Saccharomyces cerevisiae S288C: one gene and its partners. Changing the gene in region 2 together with the main gene of any one other region gives a genetic interaction. Each region holds a gene or a part of one and is shown on either strand. Other genes may lie near its edges.

Region 1 (5,735 bases), on a different chromosome or scaffold from region 2:
TCTACTTCCATGTCCCATTCCAAAGCGCAGAAACTTGTTATTGAGGACGCCTTGCCCTCATTCGACTCATTTGTAGAAAACTTGGGCCTTTCCTCAAATGACAAGAACTTCATTAAAAAAAACAGCAAAAGGCAAAAGTCGTCCACATACACCTCTCAAACTTCTTCTCCAATAGGGCCAAGAGATCCAACGGTGCAAATTTTGTCAAACCTAGCATCCTTCTACAACACCCACGGTCACCGGTATTCATATCCGGGAAATATCTATATACCACAGCAAAGATACTCTTTACCCCCACCAAACCAGCTCTCGTCGCCACAGCGGCAGCTAAACTATACTTACGACCACATTCACCCAGTTCCTTCTCAGTACCAGTCTCCAAGACACTACAACGTCCCCTCTTCACCAATCGCGCCTGCTCCTCCCACTTTCCCTCAACCTTATGGTGATGATCACTATCATTTTTTGAAATATGCTAGCGAAGTTTATAAGCAACAAAACCAACGACCAGCTCATAATACAAATACCAATATGGACACCTCTTTTTCGCCAAGGGCGAACAATTCACTGAACAATTTCAAATTTAAAACAAACTCAAAACAATAAAAATGTCATCTGTTACATTTTTGGTAATATTCTTTTATAATGGTTCTTTAATTTTTTTACATAATTTACATATTATTTCAAAGTTTTTCAAAAATATCCGTACTATATGTTTTTCCAGACAAAACATAAAACATACAATGATCTTTTTGAAGAGAGAATTAGTACACTCATTACAAGGTGTATGACGTGCCGAAGAAAAAAATTGCTTCCAATCGGATTTGAACCGATGATCTCCACATTACTAGTGTGGCGCCTTACCAACTTGGCCATAGAAGCTCGTACTTGTTGGTTCAGTACTCTTCATCAAGCTATACTATTTATCTAGGATGACGGTCACAGTGATTCGTACTCGACTGCTTCTATAATCTGTAGGTGGCTTGCGCATATCCTGAATTATCGTAATTAAAGAACCAAGTTAGATGCTAAAGGTGGAAAAGTTCAAAAAATTGAAGCGATTCGAGGTCTATTATTGTTTAAAAAATTCTTTTCTGGAAGAAGTAGATATCGAGATGAAATATTCCTGCAGTATAACAACTATAATGAGCAATGGTTCAGCAAGCTTGTTGATGAACTGGGAAGAATTAACACCTGGTCACTGTTTTACCTCTTACACAACTAACCCTATCGCAGGTGACTATGGTTTGAATGCATCAGCAATAGACGGCCACACGGAAGAGTTAGTGGCGACCCACCCAGCGGGAACCTTGGAGAATGCAACGCAGTAGGTTCATAGCATTCGCAAATAATGGCATAGCCTCACATTTGCTGATGAAAATGGTACTATTCTGCCACAGTCCTGCTCTTTCTTTACAGAAAATGAAGAACATTAGAATGTTGTGATAAAAATTTAGGGTTACTTATTTCATGAAGGCAGTAATAATACGTATGAAAACATTAGTCAATAGACGATTGATTATTATTCCAACAATAGTATATCTGAACAGCCGTACGCAAAAAAAGCAAATTTAATTGCTGACCATTATTCAGAGCAGCTGTTTTGCCAACGTTTGCTCAAGCTATTGTCCAAATCAAATAGAGAGATACGAGTAAGCTGTTCATCAATGCTATGACTTTTAAACACATTTGATTCTTACTGCGAAAATTCCACTAGACAATTAGGGCTAATATGTGACATGCATATGTGACATGCATGTGGTGCAATTGCTGTTAAACATGGGCCTGTAAGCGGGCCAGCACATCTTCAACGGCAACCTGCCTCGACGTTTGGATGGAATATACTGAACTCAATGTGATGACCTGAAGCCACAGTCAACTCCTAATTTTCGAAGTCATTGTAGCGAAAGTATTTCTTAGACGGGATACTGTTGTTTATGTTCATAAGGGTGCCTCGATAAAAACAGATTCAGCCATATCCAACCTATATGGAGTGATGAAGGAGTAAAAATCAAGTATGAAAGCTAAACCACGCAGCAGAATATCGTAGAACCCAGCAACTAACAGAAATAACTACATTTTCATAAAATCTGACCCAGATTATGGAATGAGGCTACAACTTTATTCAGTGTCTAAAAGAATAGTTTCGCACGGAGAGCTTTTCCGCCTTACATTCATTTCCGCTAGCATTCCCGTGTAAAGGAATATATTTGAAAGAGATACAAAGAAACTGTTGATGACTGCGTGTACTCTAAATGCAATACTAGCTCAAAAATGTGAATAGTCACCGGTTGGGCATAGTAAACGTCTGTTTAGTTTCATGAACCGTTTTGTAATTATTTGCCTTCTTTTTACTTATTATGTCATATGGTCGCTCCTGCCTATCTTCGAGATCGAGAACTCCAATCCAGTTGTGAGTTTACTCTTCCCCATTTCTAGCAATGTTGCAATTTTCCTGCCCATCTTCTTACTGTTGATCGGGTTTACTTTAACTGGTTCTGTTTTAGGTGTATTGCTTATACGCAGCGATAAAAAGAAAAAAGTTTAATCTAAGCCTTAAGAGGCTCGAGTCACTTCTTTCCTCGATGAGAAATCCCGGATTTCTCATCACGGTTTCCATACAAAAGTCCATGGAAATATGCTTGGCAAACTCAGTGAAAAATTTGACAATATCATTTGGGTTTGCCTGAGAAACCAGAATAAAAATAGGCTTGACCAGCAGTGATATCAAGTTAGAAGGCATTGTTTTGAATTTTAGACAATTTAGTTTCGCCTGCAAGCCGTCAAAAACGTTTAAACAATAGAAAAGATGCTCCGAAGAATATGATACTAACTATTTATACATATGTAACAGGAAGACAAGTGACAACAAAAACTATTTAAACTATTCAATCGCATGTTTCGGAGTTTCCCCACGCCCGTATCCTTTAGCTTCGTAATAATCCATTGGATAATATTTTTCGCTGAACATGACATCTTTCTTTAGTAAGACACTAGCCTCATATGGTGTTAATAGTGGTTTATTGAAGGCATAACCCCAATCGATGGACAGTCTAGGACATGCGACCTGAACAAAAACATCAATTTGATCGAACATTGCGAGCTTTTGGGGAAAAACTTCACTTAGAATAATTTTCACCACGGTTTTACCTGCTGCGATCAGGTTTTTTTCCAAGTTTTTTACAGTGTTTAAATTACCTTGTCTACCTAATGCACCTAAGATCAGACCAAAAACTTTACCCTTCCGAGCGACTTCAATGGCCTCTGCTCTAACTTCCACGAGTTGCTTTTGATCGTATCCTTCTCTAGTGAACTTTCTGTTGTATGGGTCATACTTGAATGCAGGAATTTCCGGATTATGTATCATTGCAGACTCCAAATGAAATCTACCATCACCGATGAATACCATGGCATCGTATTGTTCTTTATCTAATCTTTCAGAAGTACACCCCAATACTTCACCCCTCGATAGAGGCTTGATTTGTGGTGGAATAATATACAGCATGTGTTCTTCATCGTTAAGCAGTTTATCTCTGACGCTGTGTACCGCAGGATTAAACTGAATGGTACCAAATGTAGCGATTCTAGATCCCTTAGGAAAATTCTTCTGCAGCGTTTTGATAATATGATCTTCTTGAATATTTATAGTAACAAAGACATATAGTACTTTAATCTTTGTAACGTCAATAGGAACTAAACACGAATGAGCGTAATGCACAATAAAATCGCAATCCAATGCCCTAGCAGTAAAATCATCAATACAGCATGCACCATAAGACACATCCCCCATTACTAGAGTTTCAACACCACAGAACTGTTCCAAAATGTCACTTATAATCAATGAGTAAATCAGCAAACCTTCAGGCATCTGTAGGGCTATTCTTTTAGCATTATATTTCCTGATATTCCACACAGTTTTGTGGATTTCAAAGTTGTAGTTAGAGGGCAATAATTTGATGGCTTCATTCAACTCTTTGTCATTCAATATATCTTCTGGCACATGATTAACACTCCTACCTAGGGCGATTCTACTCTTTTGCTTGTGGATTATTTCGTTGCCATTTTCAGCCACTGTAGTTAATTTGTCATTATTACTGTTGCCAGATTTTCTCCCAATAAATCTTCTTCTTGGTTGTTTTTTAGATTCTGTAGAGCCACTCATTACGAAAAAGAAATGCTTCAAGCTATCCGATTATCCTTAAAATTCGCAGCAGATAGTTCATGAGATTTCACTTATTTTATTTGATTGTTATTACTACTACATGTTTTTTTTTTCATCACCATCGCATCGCAAAAATCAGCTGAAAAATTTTGAATACTAAATATTCAGTGTCAAGTGCTCAGAGTAATATTAAGATTCACAAAAGAAGAATACTTGCTATAATCTACCATCACTTCTGAACTATAATGATAACACCAAGATTCTCTATAACACAGGATGAGGAATTTATATTTCTCAAAATATTCATAAGTAATATTAGGTTCAGTGCAGTGGGTTTAGAGATAATCATCCAAGAAAATATGATCATTTTTCACTTATCCCCTTACTATTTAAGATTAAGATTTCCTCACGAATTAATCGATGATGAGAGGTCTACCGCTCAATACGATTCCAAAGATGAATGCATCAATGTAAAAGTAGCCAAACTGAATAAAAATGAATATTTCGAAGATTTGGACCTACCGACAAAGTTGTTGGCTAGGCAAGGCGATCTTGCAGGTGCCGATGCATTAACAGAAAATACTGATGCGAAAAAAACCCAAAAGCCCCTTATTCAAGAGGTCGAAACTGATGGCGTGTCGAATAATATTAAAGATGATGTGAAGACTATTGGTCAAATGGGAGAGGGGTTTAATTGGGAGATAGAGCAAAAGATGGATTCCAGCACCAATAATGGAATATTGAAGACAAAATATGGGTTTGATAACTTATATGATACAGTTATATCAGTGTCGACAAGCAACGGGAACGATATCAATGAATTAGACGATCCTGAACACACTGACGCGAACGATAGAGTTATTGAAAGGTTAAGAAAAGAAAATTTGAAGTTTGATCCTGAGTACTATGTTTCCGAGTATATGACACATAAATACGGTAACGAGGAAGACTTGGAAATTAACGGCATTAAAGAACTACTGAAGTTTACACCTTCGATCGTAAAGCAATACCTGCAATGGTACAAAGACAGTACGAACCCAAATCTGGTCATGCCAATTGAGTTTACTGACGAGGAACAAAAACAGATGCAGGACAATTTACCCAAGAAGTCTTATCTCGTGGAAGATATAAAACCACTTTATGTCACTATACTCAGCGTTCTTTTCAGTTATGTGTTTGAACAGATCGAAAACGAAGGTACTCATACCACAGAGAGTGCTTGGACCATGGGAAAATTGTGCCCTCAAATATCATTCTTAGACCAACAATTAAAACAGGTGAACGAACTGCAAGACGGTATGAAAGAAATATCAAAGGTTAATAAAGACAGCTCTCTCATCAAGATTGCAATCATTACAGGTATCAGGAGAGCCCTGAGTTATCCACTACATAGAAACTATGACCTAGCAATGAAAGCGTGGACATTCGTATATTATATTCTACGAGGTGGTAAGAGACTAGTCATAAGGGCGCTTTTGGACATTCATGAAACATTTCGTTTCCATGATGTTTACTACGTCTACGACAAAGTTCTCTTGGATGATCTGACTGCGTGGTTCATTTCTCAGGGTAG
Region 2 (8,313 bases):
TACCTTTTCGTCACTTTTTTTTCCACCATTCTTGCAGGTTCCCTGTCAGATTTGGAAATCGGTATTATCAAGAGAATACCGGTAGAAGATTGCTTAATTAAGGCAATGCCAGGTGATAAAGTTAAGGTTCATTATACAGGATCTTTATTAGAATCGGGAACTGTATTTGACTCAAGTTATTCAAGAGGCTCTCCTATCGCTTTTGAACTTGGCGTTGGCAGAGTAATTAAAGGTTGGGATCAAGGTGTTGCCGGCATGTGCGTTGGCGAAAAAAGAAAGCTGCAAATTCCAAGTTCTTTGGCCTACGGAGAAAGAGGTGTCCCAGGCGTCATTCCTCCAAGTGCTGATTTGGTGTTTGATGTCGAATTGGTAGACGTGAAATCAGCCGCCTAGGTAAATTGGCACTCAGGCACATATCTGCAACAAGATGCATGGAGTACGTATGTGGCAAACTTTTTTTTATAGTTGAAAATATATCCATATGAGGATGCCAGCCATCATGTCAAGTTTCAATGTAATTATGGTTGTGTATATTATGTTTGCAGCAAAATAAAATAAAAGGGCTCTAACTACAATATATTAATATAAAGAAATGTTATTCAATCTAGTTTGGGTATGAATTTTTTCCCTCTTAATAAAAATAGTTTAAGTAGTTTGTTCAGTCTTCTTATCGCTGGTAAACATTTTTTGGGAATTTGGTTTTAAACTATCAAAAAAATCCTGAAAAAAGTCTTCAAAGGAATTGAATTGGTCGACGTCAGGAATCATGAAGTGACTACTGGACAAGTTCTCGTGCAAAGTACCAACATTAGTAGGCGAAGTAGCGGGTTTCGCGGCGTGCAGATTTCCTGCTCCTGTGTAGTTATTAGCATTAGTCGACATTTTATCATTATCACTATTCTCTTTTGACAAACTGCCAAAATTAATACGAGTCTTACTAGTATCAATTATAGATTTTATGATTTTTCCAACGTTATCAGTAGCCTCATTCATTTTTTCCCCTATAGTGCTCAAATGCCAGTACACTTTTGTACAAAGACTCAAAACGCGTTGACGTTCAGAAGAATCGAACCAATAAAGATAGTCACAAAGAGTTAAACAGGCGTAGACTAGTTGATGACAAGTAAAAATCGGAGCACCCCTTATTAACGTTGGCGGTAGTCTCAAAAACCCATTCAACAGCGAAAATGAATGTTCTTTCATCGTATTAAGAATTAGTTTCAAAAACCTTTGGTTGCTTTTTAGCGTGGAAGAAAATTCTGTGATAAAAGTGCGACATATCATGATATGATAAAAATCAAATGTGAACAATAGCACGCCCGCGCCATCCTTTGCTAAAAGCTCTTCCCAATTTTTCAGCCAATAATTTAGCTCTGGAAAAACAAAGATAAAAGTATCTGCGTTACCTCCATATCTGTCATTGTTAAAGTCATCCAAACACTGCGCAAAATAATTTTTAAGGTTTATAAAGATGCCATTTACGATGTCACCTAAATTTATCTCACTGATTTTAATGTCATCACCAAAATTCGCCTGAGGAAATTTCGCCACAAGTTTATTAAACTCTTTAAGCATATCATCCTGTTCCCTAATATCGCCGTAACTAATGGAATATTCTAAATAGCAGGCAGTTAGTGAATTTAGTATTCTTAGATGATAAAGATCTTCGGGATTATACACTTCTTTTACCAAAACCCTATCCTTTATCTGATAAAAATCTATTACATGTAACAAGCTATTGAGCGCAAAATTGCTTAGTACCAGAGAATTAAACTTCAGTTGCCTATATCTCTTTGCCTTTCGCGAAATATGGAACATACAGCAATATAAAATAGCCTCAATATCAAACGCTGTTAACTTTTCAAACATGGTTAACGTATTAGTGAGTAATCTCTCCACTAAAGGATACAATATTTCTTGTTCTGCAGCGTATTTATCGTTGTCAGCAAAACTCATAGCGATAATAGTAAAAACACTTGTAATAAATAGGTGTGAGTGGGCATATTCCACGTCTATCTCTTTTCTCCCACCTGGAATTATCCAGAAATGGGATCTCACCAGAAATTCTTTTGCAAGCTTATGGCATAATTCCTGATTATTCTCATAAAAATGGAGAAAGTTCACTCTTGCAACAGCATATGGCCTTTGCTGTCCAGCTAGCTTCGCAGCTTTAGATGTAGCCTTCGATGGAAATAGCCTCTCATCAATATCATGTAGCAATTTTAAAGGAGATTCCTTCAACTTAAATCCATTTAAGAAAAGATTTTCTTTTCTATATTCCCCTGTTTTCCTTATCGTCTCTGAGCCCGAAGTTAGACGACTATCGTACGTCTTATTTGAGCTGAAATCCACGTTCTGAATATCATCTCCAGGGCCTTTGATATCGCTGTTATAAGACATCTTTGCTGTGGTGATTATCAAGTCCATTTTCTGGTGTAAAGATTTTATGTGCTCTTCTAAAGATGAAAGCCTTTTATCGATCATGTAATTATCAAAATTGACCGTTCCATTCTTTTCAAAACTACTTTGGCTTTCGTTGGGAGAGTCCGCATTCAAATGAGAGAAAGAACCAAGGTTGTGATTAATTGAGTTGATCTTCTTTAGTAGACCATCCTCACGTAAAGTATTCAAAATTTCATTGTCTTTATTCCTGGCTAAGGAGCAATCAAGCTGCAGAACGTTACATCTGTAACATTTTCCAATGAAAGGTTCAAAATCGCACCTTGTCTTCACTCTCCTGCAAGTATCACAACTAAATGTTTTTCTTTTCTTTCTAGGTTTTTTGTTGCCATTATTCTTAGGACTGTTCGTTTCACTGCGCTCTTTGGCTCTTGCACTATCCTCTGGGTGGTTTATTATGGATCTGATACTATTTCGCACCTTTCCAGAAGCAGAATTATATCCAGCAGTCATCGGTAAACCATCTGGTCTGGGGCTTACTGAGGCATTTGAGTTTATATCCATTTTTTTCCCTGATGTTCAGCAAACCGAAAGAAATATAAAATACAACTGGGAAAGATGTTTTAATGGTGAGTAAGCAAAATGTGAGTGGTTTTAACCCTAAGGAAGAACCGTATCAAAACACTATTTTTCAATTAAATCATCTACCTAATGAGCTCATTTTGTTAAGATGATCTACCATAATAATTATTCAAAAACTGTCAAAATTAAAAGGAGGGTAACAGTTTCAATAGTTTAACCAGTTTTGGTAATGCCTGAAATAACATAAAAAGCTGATGCTAAGTGGGCTACGCTATGCTCCAGGTGAAGATAATCAGAACACTACATCTCTACTGCAAATTTATATCTCATAAGAACTAAATAAAATGGCTAGTATTTAAGTTAATCTTCTAACCTAAAAAATTATCGAGAACAATACCGTGAAAACTGCATAAACTGACATTTTGAAAGCATCAATAAAAATGTTCTTCGGAGCACTGTTTTCCATCTTCTTTGAACTTCCTTGACTTTTTGCACCATTTTTTCCTTTTTCTTTCTTTCCATTATCATTGTCAGTTTCCTGCTTTCCTAGTACATTCCCCTCTTCATCAACATTCAGCATTTTACTTTTCATACCAGATGTGCATTCGATTTTACCGCCTCTTATGATCGAACGACCGGCTTTTGGTGATGTAAATTCTTCACAGTTTAATTCCTCAGATGAACTTTTGATATAAGCGCTACCTTTTACTAACTTTAGCTCTGGGAGGTCAATTTTATCAAAGCTACCTTCAAAATATATTGCACCGCCAATTTGCCTCAACTTGGGGAAGAAATCAATTTTGGCAAGCTCTGTATTGTTAGCAATCATTAGACCCCCTTGAATATCGGTGGCATTCGAAAAGTTTAGCTTTTTCAGATTTTTATTATCTATTAACCCCAACGTTCCTTGAACTTTTGCCAAAAGTGGTAGTTCCAAGCTTGAAAATTGATTCTCGATGAACTCTAGAGAACTGTTCACAGAGGAAAGTTTAGCTAGTTTAATTTCTGAAACGTCCTTAATGGTCATATTTTCAACCGTGTGTAAGTTGCTCAAATCAAGTTCCAGCTCTTTGGCATTAGAGTGGACGGTTAGTTGTTTAGTAACACTTTCTAAACTTGCGAATAAATTTTCTAAAAACCTGTTATTGTTGATATTGAAAATATCCACTTTCTTGACGTTATTGAAGTAATCGATGGAGGTTAATGCAGTATCAGATATGATAATATTTTTGATCTTTTTAATATTTCCGTTAATGACAACACTACTTAGAATAGGCAAAACTCTCCAATCAACGGTTTCAACTTCTTTTAAAGCGGGAAAGTCTAATGATACAAAGGAAGTTAGGCTATCCAATTCCAACTTTCCCAAAGACTCTAAATTATAACCCTGGATTCTAAAAATGTGTTTGTTATTCTTGATAATAAGATCTCCCTCTATCTCTCTTATTAACCCTAGATCAATAAGAGATCCGCTGTAGTTACTTGATATTTCAATGTTTCCTACCACTTTCCAACATTTAGCTTGCAGTTCAATCAAATTTCCAGCATTCTCAATATGATACAAGCCTTTTTTACAGTCTTCATCTACTTGTGTTTGTTTTGTTGGAGAAATCACCTCAAAATCAGTTTGTTCCTTTTTAGGGATCGTTGCATTAGTGTTAACCAACATAATGTTGTGATCTAGAATATTCGGTCCACCATTAGGTTCAACTGCAGCGGATGATTTAATTAACTGCAGAAACAAGAATAAAAATCTTAAGATTGTGTTCAACTGGTTCAACATGCTATCCTTTTCTTTTTTTGTAGAAACTTTGGTTTCTTTATTGACTATTTGAATAACAGAAATACTAGTGAAGAATGTTTGTGTTTTCCAAATTGGCATTTTCTTTTATAGTCTAAGTAATGCCACAAAATATTTTTTTTGAGACGCATCAATGACGGGACAGTAAAGACATAAACGCTCGATCAGAAAAAAAGAATCGAAAAAAAAAGGGAGAAATAAGCAGGTAAATAATCAAAAACACATGACTTTTTACTGTTTGTTATATAATTCAATATATCCATCCTTCATTTATTGAAGATGAAAGAGAATGGAAAACAAAAACTCATGCATATACACACATTATATATATATATCTATTTTTTTAAACGAATCCTTTCTTTATTGCTTCAATTCTTAGTGAGATCTCTTCTATAAAAACCTCATTAAATCCAGGAACGTTTGCCTCAGTTTTAATGAATTGCTTTAACATTTCATTTACGTATTTTCTTGTTTCATCGTCGCGCGCACGATCATACATTCTGTTGAGAATATGAGATACAATGTTTTTCAAGTAGTCAAACTTTTCTATCTTCAACGCCTGAATATCGTTCTTTTTATGCTTCTTATTATGATTAGAGAGAGGAACTATTTCGGTCTCTGCTTGAGCATTTGGGCAGCCTGAATCTATATCCATTCCTGAATCAAGCTCGAAAACTGGTTGCGTACATTTTCTAAATGATGAAGAACTTGGGTTGGTTATCGGCGTTACAGTTTGCCCATGAAGTAAATAAGGACTTTCCATATTTAAAGATGATGTTGGAGAGTCTTGTGTAATGGGAGATAATTCCTCTTTGGAAATTTGTGTTGTGCTTAGTCTTGTCGATTCAAAATTCCAAAATTCCTTTCCCCTCACTGTGTTGCTGTTTTTATACAAGCGATTTTGAAGAGGGTATTTGGGAACTTTTGTATATCTCTCCTGAACCTTTTTCTGTTTAATTAGATCAACATCACTTTTCAAGTTCGTTATGGTGATATTCTTAACAAATTCAAATGATAACAAGTTATATGCCGATGGCCGATCAGCAGGTGTTTTAACAAGACAACCAGCTACGAAATCCTTTGCTGCATCCGAAAAGGGACCTTGTAATTTTGGAGGCTTCCTTTTTGGTAAGTTAGTCATAACTTTCATAGGATCATATTTAGATAATGGGGGTAAGCCCTTGAGTAACTCATAGGTGGTGATACCCAAGGACCATATATCTGCTTTCTCATTATACCCATCAACTTCGCAGCAAACAACTTCCGGAGCCATCCAATACGGCGTTCCTACAAAAGTGTCCCTTTTCAAAGTGGAACGAATGTGGCCACTTACTCCGAAATCACCCAACTTAACCATACCTTCTTCATTTAGTAAAATATTAGCTGCTTTGATATCACGATGAATTTTCCTTTGCTCATGCAGGTATTTCAAACCCAAGGTGACTTCATGAATAATGAAGGAAACTTTTTCTTCAGGCAAACCGTTGACGTAACTTCGCTTCAGTAAATCTGAACATGATCCACCGCCGCAATATTCCATGACAATCCACATAGAGACATCTTCTAACATTGTTGCAATATAGTTTGTAATAAGAGGAGATTTCAATTCCGCCAGAAAAAAAATTTCCTGTGCTAACAGTTCAATGTCTTCGTCGGAATGCTCCAGGTTGACCACCTTAATTGCCACAATTTCTTGCGTAACTCTATCCACTGCTTTATACACATCACCAAAGTTACCTCTGCCAATACATGATTGGATGGAATATAGCTTCGATGGAGGGGTTCTTGACCTAATTGATATTTCTTTGCTTTCCATTTTGTGCTATTTTCTTTTGTTGTTTAGTAAATGAATTAGCTAGTAAAAAAACTAAATTTAAAAAGCAAATGCTGGTTTGCTTTCTTTTGAGAAATGTTTGCTAAGACAACTGACTAGCCAGGTGTTCACTAAATCGATAATATTGAAAATGGCAAAATAAGAAAAAAAAAGAAGAGAATTAGCTGGCTTTTTTTGGATAGGAAATATTAAATGAAGCAGTTGGAACCAAGATAATAAACAAAAACAGTATATTAAGTGACTCTTTAGTATATATCTGAACTAACAAGTAAAATATCGATGTTAGAAATGGTTACAATAGAAGAAAGTAGTGTCATTCTTTCGCGTCAAAAAAAAAAAATGGAATTTGTGTCTTTTTCGTTTTTATGTGTCATTTTTTTTTATCCCTGATGCCGCATTGTTCCGAACCTGGGACAGCTCCGAAATATAACTTGAGGAAAAAGTATTAGAAAAGGGAAAAAAATACAGTTAAATTATCATATATGTTATTTTTTGTCCTTTTTGGCCAATTTTAAAGACTTATGCATTGTTAATAAGTTTGTTGGGGACATCAAATTTTGAGAAGACTTAGGAATGGAGCTCAAACTCCACCTTTTACTTGCTGAGGCACTTCTTTCAGGTATGTTAACTCTCAAATCGTGTTTCTTATTGTAGGACGAAGCTGAATCTACATTTGAATGCATATTTAAATGCGGCCCTGATCTTGGACGAGAAGTATTTACAGCTTGGAATGTTCCGTACATCTCCAACTTAGTTTCCCAATATTCTAAAACCTTTGGAGACCAATTCGTAGTAATCTTCGGTAAATTATCTATATGAATACCATTGCACAATAAAAATTCTGTAATAAAAAAAATGGGCGTTCCATCAACAATTTCATAGTGCTTTAGGGAATATTGAAAAATGGAAGAATGGTTTAGATCATTCTGCTCTTTTTCGCTTGCCGTCAATTCTCTTAGGGAATATTTACTTTGGGCGATGGCTCTTTGCATCATGAAAACACTATCTAAATGGATAGCTTTAATTAAAGACTTCAAAGAAGCCTCTCTGCCTTGGTTGCTGTCGATAACAAACTTTTTAAATTGATACTTATCAATAATGAATTTGGATCTTTCCGAGTCATCAGAATTTGCAGTTATTTTTTTAACTGGAAAGTTCCTGAGATTGCTTTCATAAATGGCATTAACATTACTATTGGAAACATTATTTTGTAAAAGATGCATCAACTCTAACGAGGTGAAATTATCCAGCGTTAAAGATCTAATTTTGGAGATATGTGAACCCAGAGATCGATGAACGCCCGAACATTTGATACACAATATACACAATAAATTGATTGACACCCATTCTACTGTTGCGGTGCTACCGCAGTCACAACACTTCAAATTAGATTTATCAATTTTGCGCACGATTGATAGCAGTTCGTCTCTATTGGAGGCTCCCGCATTAGCAAAAGAGAAATGCTGTGTATGCTGTTTGGAGGAATCTGTTTTTGTAGGAATACGGTTATTACTATTACTGTTGCTACTGCTACTATGAATGGGATGAGTTTGATGATTGATGTGATGAGAATGCGTAGATTTGTGTTGGCTCCCACTAAGACGGGTTGATAAATATGTAAATGACAGTTGGGGTGAACGAAATGGAAATCCTGATGGTAAAGAAGGAGGTATTTGTAGTAATATCAATGATTCTT
Region 3 (5,638 bases), on a different chromosome or scaffold from region 2:
GACGATTACACAGTCTTTAGTTGTTAAATAGCTTTGCATATAGGGAACCAACGCAAAATAACCAATGTCTTTAATTTCAGCTGTAGAAGATAGAGACATACATAATATAGGAAAGACTTCTGGTGGAGGGAGCAGGACTTCGTCTATAACTTCGTCGAAAAAGTCGCTGAAACACGGCTCTAAATCTTTGAGAAAACCAAAGGTATACCAGACAACAGGCGAACCATTAAGCAGGGAGGCTTTATATAAGGCGAAGTTGAAGTACGGGGTTTACCAGTCACCTGCCCAAAGTTACTCAATTGGCGTCAGCGACGCTCATGCAGCTTCCGACAAGGCAGCTAATTTAGCTCATGACAATCAAACCACGGTAGAAGCTTACAAACGTATGTTTATTGACCCTAATGCCACTAAAGCTGCATCCAAAATGGGACCCAAAGTTGTACGTAACAACTCAATAACTTCTGCTACTTCTAAAACTTCAAAAGAATCTCAGACGAAGAGAAAGTCCAAAGAATCTCCAGGGGCCGCCGCATCGAAAGCTTATTCGATGACAATGGAAACTACAAGTTTAAGCTCTCAAACAAACAGCAGGTCATATTCTATCACCTCTGCCAGCTCTGTGTTAAGCGGCGCGAGTGGCAGTTTCAACAGTACTGTTAATCCTAAACCAAAGACTTTGAATTTGGAGAAAGTCTTAGTGGGTGCTGAAAAAAAGGCAGAATCTCGTATTAAGGAAAGATGGGAACCGGAAAAGACGAACTTCCAATACGGCGTCAAGACTGATGAGCATGGTAATTTAAATCAATTCAGTTTCTCCAATGAGATGATGAATAACATTATGGCGAAAGTTGATGCTCCAAAAGCACAAGATTTACAAAAGGTCAAAAAAGTTTCTGCTGAGAAAGAAGCCAAGTCGATGAAATTTGCATTAGGAGCTGCTAATGCTGTGAAAGACATGCATCCTGGTGAGGATATCGACAAAAGTATAGCTCTTAAGGCGCAGAAGAGGGAAACCTATCTGAGCCAATTAACTTCTCAGCAAGTTTTGACTTTGGCAAGAGCCAATGTTGACAGACAATTGGATATCATTGAAAAAAGCGATATGCATAGAAAGCTATTCACTAATATGGAATACAACAAAGCTGCTGTCGCTGTCGCACAGTCTAATCATCAGAAAAAGACAGAATTCCATAACAAGATTAACATGGGTGGTGGCCTGTTTTTGTCACCAGAAGATATCACTAAAATCGCATCCGGATTGATTTCTCCTGTACTTGGTGAAGTGAGTGAGAGGGCGGAGGCGCAACGTGCTATGGATGAAGAAATTGCAGAAAGAACTGAGGCCTATAATAAATCATCAAATGAATGGGAAACGATGGAACGTTCTATCATTTCTAATGACGCCAAAGTATTGACTACTACGGCTAATAGGCATCAAACCGAAAAAAAGACCTCCCAGGAAAAGATTAAAGCCAGCTTTGATGCACTTGTGGCCAGAATGGATACCAAAGTCGCTGAAAGGGAAACTCTGCTTGAAGATACCAAGAGCAAAGAGATCGAATTTAAAAAGCAAATGCAGCAAGAGTTAAAGGACGAAAAAGCTCGTCTAGATCAAGATTTGGAGGAATGGGGTAAGAAATGTGAACAAGATATCACTGAAGCGCGCAAAGAGCAAGAAGAACTATTGAAACCTTACCATGACGATCTGGCAAATGCAGAAGCGGAACACAAAACTTTAGTGGAAGAGCGCGATGAAATTAACGCAGAAATCTCAAGATTGCAGGATGCTATAGTTGACCATAAAAGAAAGATCTCTGGTTACGGAAATGATCTTGACGCCCAGAAGAATAGAAATATCAGAGAGGATGACAAATTACTGGAACTAGGTCAAACTAAAGAAAGCTTGGAATCCCATTTGAATGATGACGTTATTATTCTTGCTAATAAGGCTAAAGAGCAGGCTGAGTTATCAACCAAGGAGGCCCGTCTGAAGCAATTGGAAGTGGATTCGTTGATTAACGAACGTAAGAGCGAGTTGAACGCGACCGAAATCGAGTTAAAGAAGGAAAAACTAAATTTGTTGGAAGCTATGAAAGATGTTGCTTCTGCACGTGGCGATGATAAGATTGACGAAGAGAAGGTTAAAAAATTGATTGGTATGACTTCTGAGGAGTATTTAACACAAAACAAATCCGTCGAGAAAAATGTTGAAGATTTACCAACCCAACTTGAAAAAATAGAGGAAGGTGATGAACTAAAGAAGGAAGAGATAGTGGGAGCCGAAACGAAAAATTCAGGTGGTGATGGGGTTCCGGTGAGTACTGCCGCAAAAGAAGCTACCGAAACTAGTTCTGCTGTTCAAACAAAGGAACCTGAAGAAAAAATTTCGATCGGAAATAAATCAAGTGGAAAAGAAGACGCTAATGATTGTAAATCAGCGGAGCATTCAAAAGAAATCTCGGTTTCACAGAAAGCAGGAAACAATAAATCATTGGGAGTTAGCCCTGATAGTTTGGAACATACATTTAGTGGCTTTTCACAGGGTTCTTCGATCGAAGACGATCAGGATGCAATTAGTAATCAAGAGAAAAAATAATTGCTAGTGAGCCTAGATAACGAAGAAATGGTGCGGCTAAGATATTGAACAGTTGAGTGGGATACTACAGAATTTTGATAATTAAGATAGTTCTCATCTGCGCTTTAATTATTCTTTTTATGTGTATAATATATGTTTATTGCCTTAATTTAAATTTAATATTTGTATTTTCTTTTTTTTGTTTAATTTGATTACTTTTGCTTATGAAATAGTATATATGGTTGTTTTACTTTTTTTTTTATTTATTTGATCTAAGTTTTATGTATGCAGATTAAAAGCAAGTTTTAATTAATTGGTATGTTGGTTTTGATTATGATTATGAGGAGTACCGCTATTGCTATTGTTTAAATTACTACTGTTGTGTTCCAGTTCATTCACGCCTGGATCAGTTTTGAAGTATACTTCATCCGGCAAAGTATCTGTTGAAATTATTGAATATTTGATGAGCCAATTTCTCATTGGTTGGTAGTCTAAAACAGAAAACGGAATGTTTAAATCGATAAGAATCTCTATCAAGTCGTTCATGGCTATTTTCGATTGAAGTTCTCGAACATTTTGCTGTTGGACCTGGTGGTTGATGAGGCTCGATCCGGTTTCAGGATGATTTCCGTTGACGTCCCCTTTTTTCTTCTTTTTCTTCTCTTTGAATTTGGCATCTGGTTCAACAAGTAAATCACGCATCAATCTAGATTGATAGTCATAGCATTCCTGGAAAAGTGGAGAATTATGATCAAAAAATTCGGTAAAATTATTTGGTGTTAGCTGGACATCGTGAACTTTACTCAAATGTCTTTGATACTTTCTAGAACCATGCTTCTCTCTACTGTTCTTATCTTTCCATATCATTTCTTGATTGCAAATTCGCTTGGTTCTACGGTCATAAAATTGGCAATATGTGTTGATAGTTAGAGGTGATTTAGCAAATAATAGTTTAGATAGATGGTTTCCCTTAATATCTCTTCTCTTGGGAATGGGAAGCTCCAAAGTTTTCATAATGTCTGATCTAAAATTTAGTGTTTCTGAAGACAGTAGCTGCATATTATTCTCTATGAAATCTACCACTTGTTGCTGTTGCCGTTGAACTGCATATTTAGAATCCTTTGTGCTATTCGATTCAATAGTTCCCAGAGGAAGCGACTCATCATGAGTAACGTTGACAGGAGATGACTTGGCAGATACGGTAGCAGAAGAAAAATCTGGCGAGAAGTTCTCTTTTTGCAAATAATCCGGTACCATATTCATATTAAGTATCCTTGGAGTTTCCATCTTGTTGGGCGCCAGATACATCTCCTCACGAGGAGTCCCACTACGGTTGGCAGGAAAATTAGGCAGTGTCGCTATATCAACCATGCCTCTATTGTCTTGAGGAGGGCCTTTAGTGGTAGCAAATTTCCCCATTTCTGGATTTAGGTCCTTCATAACTGCTTGTAGTTCTATCTCCTTGTTTTCGAATAGCTTCTCAGAAAGTAAAAAAAAGGATAATATTACAGTTTTTGATCTACAGAGTCCCTTTTTGTACCCCTCCACTCAAATCGTTCTGATACGTACGTCTCTAGGTGTCAGATGATGGAGTAACTTGCAGATGTTTTACATGCGTTTCTTTTGGTTTACGCGATAATAGTTCCTTATTAAATGTCAAGAAAGTGCTAGTTGCTTCAGTTGTTTTAAGATTGATCTCCACTCTCTGCGTCTTCACATGCGCGGGACAACTTTACAGGAAAACAAGGTTTAAGAGATAACCTATTCGGGTTTTACGTAGGATGATCTATTATAGTCTATTCAGTTTTTACTGCTGCACCATCCCCTAGGCTTCTTTGTTGGGATATGGTATAGTACTCTATTGGTCTTAACTTTGCGATCTTCCCCGTCGCGTAATCTTAGATAAAAGCCACCTAGAACGACTAAATGTGAGGAGCAAGCAACAACATTAATAAAGAAACCCAAAAGAAGTAAGTGCGTGTAGTTAGACCGGAAAACAATATGGCTATTAACCAGGCACATGTTCATCCGCATTACACGTTACCTGGTGTAATGCACTACTTGCAAACGGAGTTCACGAAGAATGAAAGAGATAGAATCACCTGGGAGCTAGAAAGGTCGGAAATGAAAGCAAGAATTGCAGAACTAGAGGGCGAAAATAGAGATTTGAAGCATCAATTGAATCAAATACAATCGAAAGCTGTTTCTCCTGAAGGTGAAAAGGAAGAAAAACATGTGCCTGATTCATTACTGCAGTCTAAGCTAGCTGTTCAAGAAAATGTGAAGGAAATAATTTATTTGTTGAAAGGCCCTAACACGGTCAATCAGTTAGAGTCATTAAATAGCAGAGAAGCGGGTTCTGAATTGCACGATTTAGAGAAACTGAACGTGAATACTCCCAAGGAAGAGGGCAGTGCGAAGACAAATGGGATGGATATTTTAAATAATGCCCTCTTGGACACCAAACCCAATCCAAAGCAAGGTCCTTCAGAGTCACCATCACCAACCAAAGTGAAATCTTTGTTTAGCACAGCCAACAAGCGTGAAAATAATGAAACAATATCCAAGATACACTCGGAATTGTCGAAAGTCGACATTATCAGCTCCTACGGGGACTGTATGGCACTTTATGATGCAGACACCAAATCGTTAGAAATACACCAAGTGGACGCAAACTTGAATTCCAAACTCTTAAAGAAAATATCTTTAGGGCAAGATAGCGACATTATGAAATTTTTCTGGGTTTCGACGTCCAAACTCCTTGTTATTGAAAAGAGTTTCCATTTGAAATTGTTCTCTATTTCTAGCGCATCTTTGATCTCAGATGTGGACCTATTACAAGACTCAGAACAGCCGTTTTCGTCTAGTGATATCATTAATATAGACTTCAAAAATAAATGGTTGTTGATAGCTAGTAAGAATAAATCTCAAATTAGAATCTGGGAATTGGACAATATAGAGGCTCCTGAGGATGTCCCAATTAACATAAAAGAAACATATGAAATAACACATGATAATGATGACGATGATAGTAATGATTCCACAAACATTCTGGATTGTATA

The links. A genetic interaction does not mean that the proteins touch.
Region 1: mutations in SPS2 (region 2) and DPH1 together harm fitness more than expected from each alone (negative genetic interaction), as found in Saccharomyces cerevisiae (2 studies listed by BioGRID).
Region 3: mutations in SPS2 (region 2) and RSF1 together harm fitness more than expected from each alone (negative genetic interaction), as found in Saccharomyces cerevisiae (2 studies listed by BioGRID).

What each region holds. Positions count from the first base shown.
Region 1 is NC_001141.2:170,178-175,912, reverse strand, and holds DPH1 (2-(3-amino-3-carboxypropyl)histidine synthase), read right to left. Parts: upstream 4,163-5,735; coding exon 2,885-4,162; downstream 1-2,884. Other genes in the region: XBP1 (Xbp1p), read left to right, coding at 1-606; YIL102C (uncharacterized protein), read left to right, coding at 1,026-1,331; YIL102C-A (uncharacterized protein), read left to right, coding at 2,321-2,548; Hsp90 cochaperone SHQ1, read left to right, coding at 4,408-5,735. UniProt on the Saccharomyces cerevisiae protein: Catalyzes the first step of diphthamide biosynthesis, a post-translational modification of histidine which occurs in elongation factor 2.
Region 2 is NC_001136.10:1,480,440-1,488,752, forward strand, and holds SPS2 (Sps2p), read right to left. Parts: upstream 4,865-8,313; coding exon 3,356-4,864; downstream 1-3,355. Other genes in the region: peptidylprolyl isomerase family protein FPR2, read left to right, coding at 1-393; URC2 (Urc2p), read right to left, coding at 646-2,964; putative serine/threonine protein kinase SPS1, read right to left, coding at 5,127-6,599; GTPase-activating protein AGE1, read right to left, coding at 7,103-8,313. UniProt on the Saccharomyces cerevisiae protein: Involved in middle stages of meiosis. Redundant with SPS22 for the organization of the beta-glucan layer of the spore wall.
Region 3 is NC_001145.3:329,170-334,807, reverse strand, and holds RSF1 (Rsf1p), read right to left. Parts: upstream 4,016-5,638; coding exon 2,885-4,015; downstream 1-2,884. Other genes in the region: EIS1 (Eis1p), read left to right, coding at 65-2,596; FAR8 (Far8p), read left to right, coding at 4,577-5,638. UniProt on the Saccharomyces cerevisiae protein: Mitochondrial and nuclear transcriptional activator required for respiratory growth.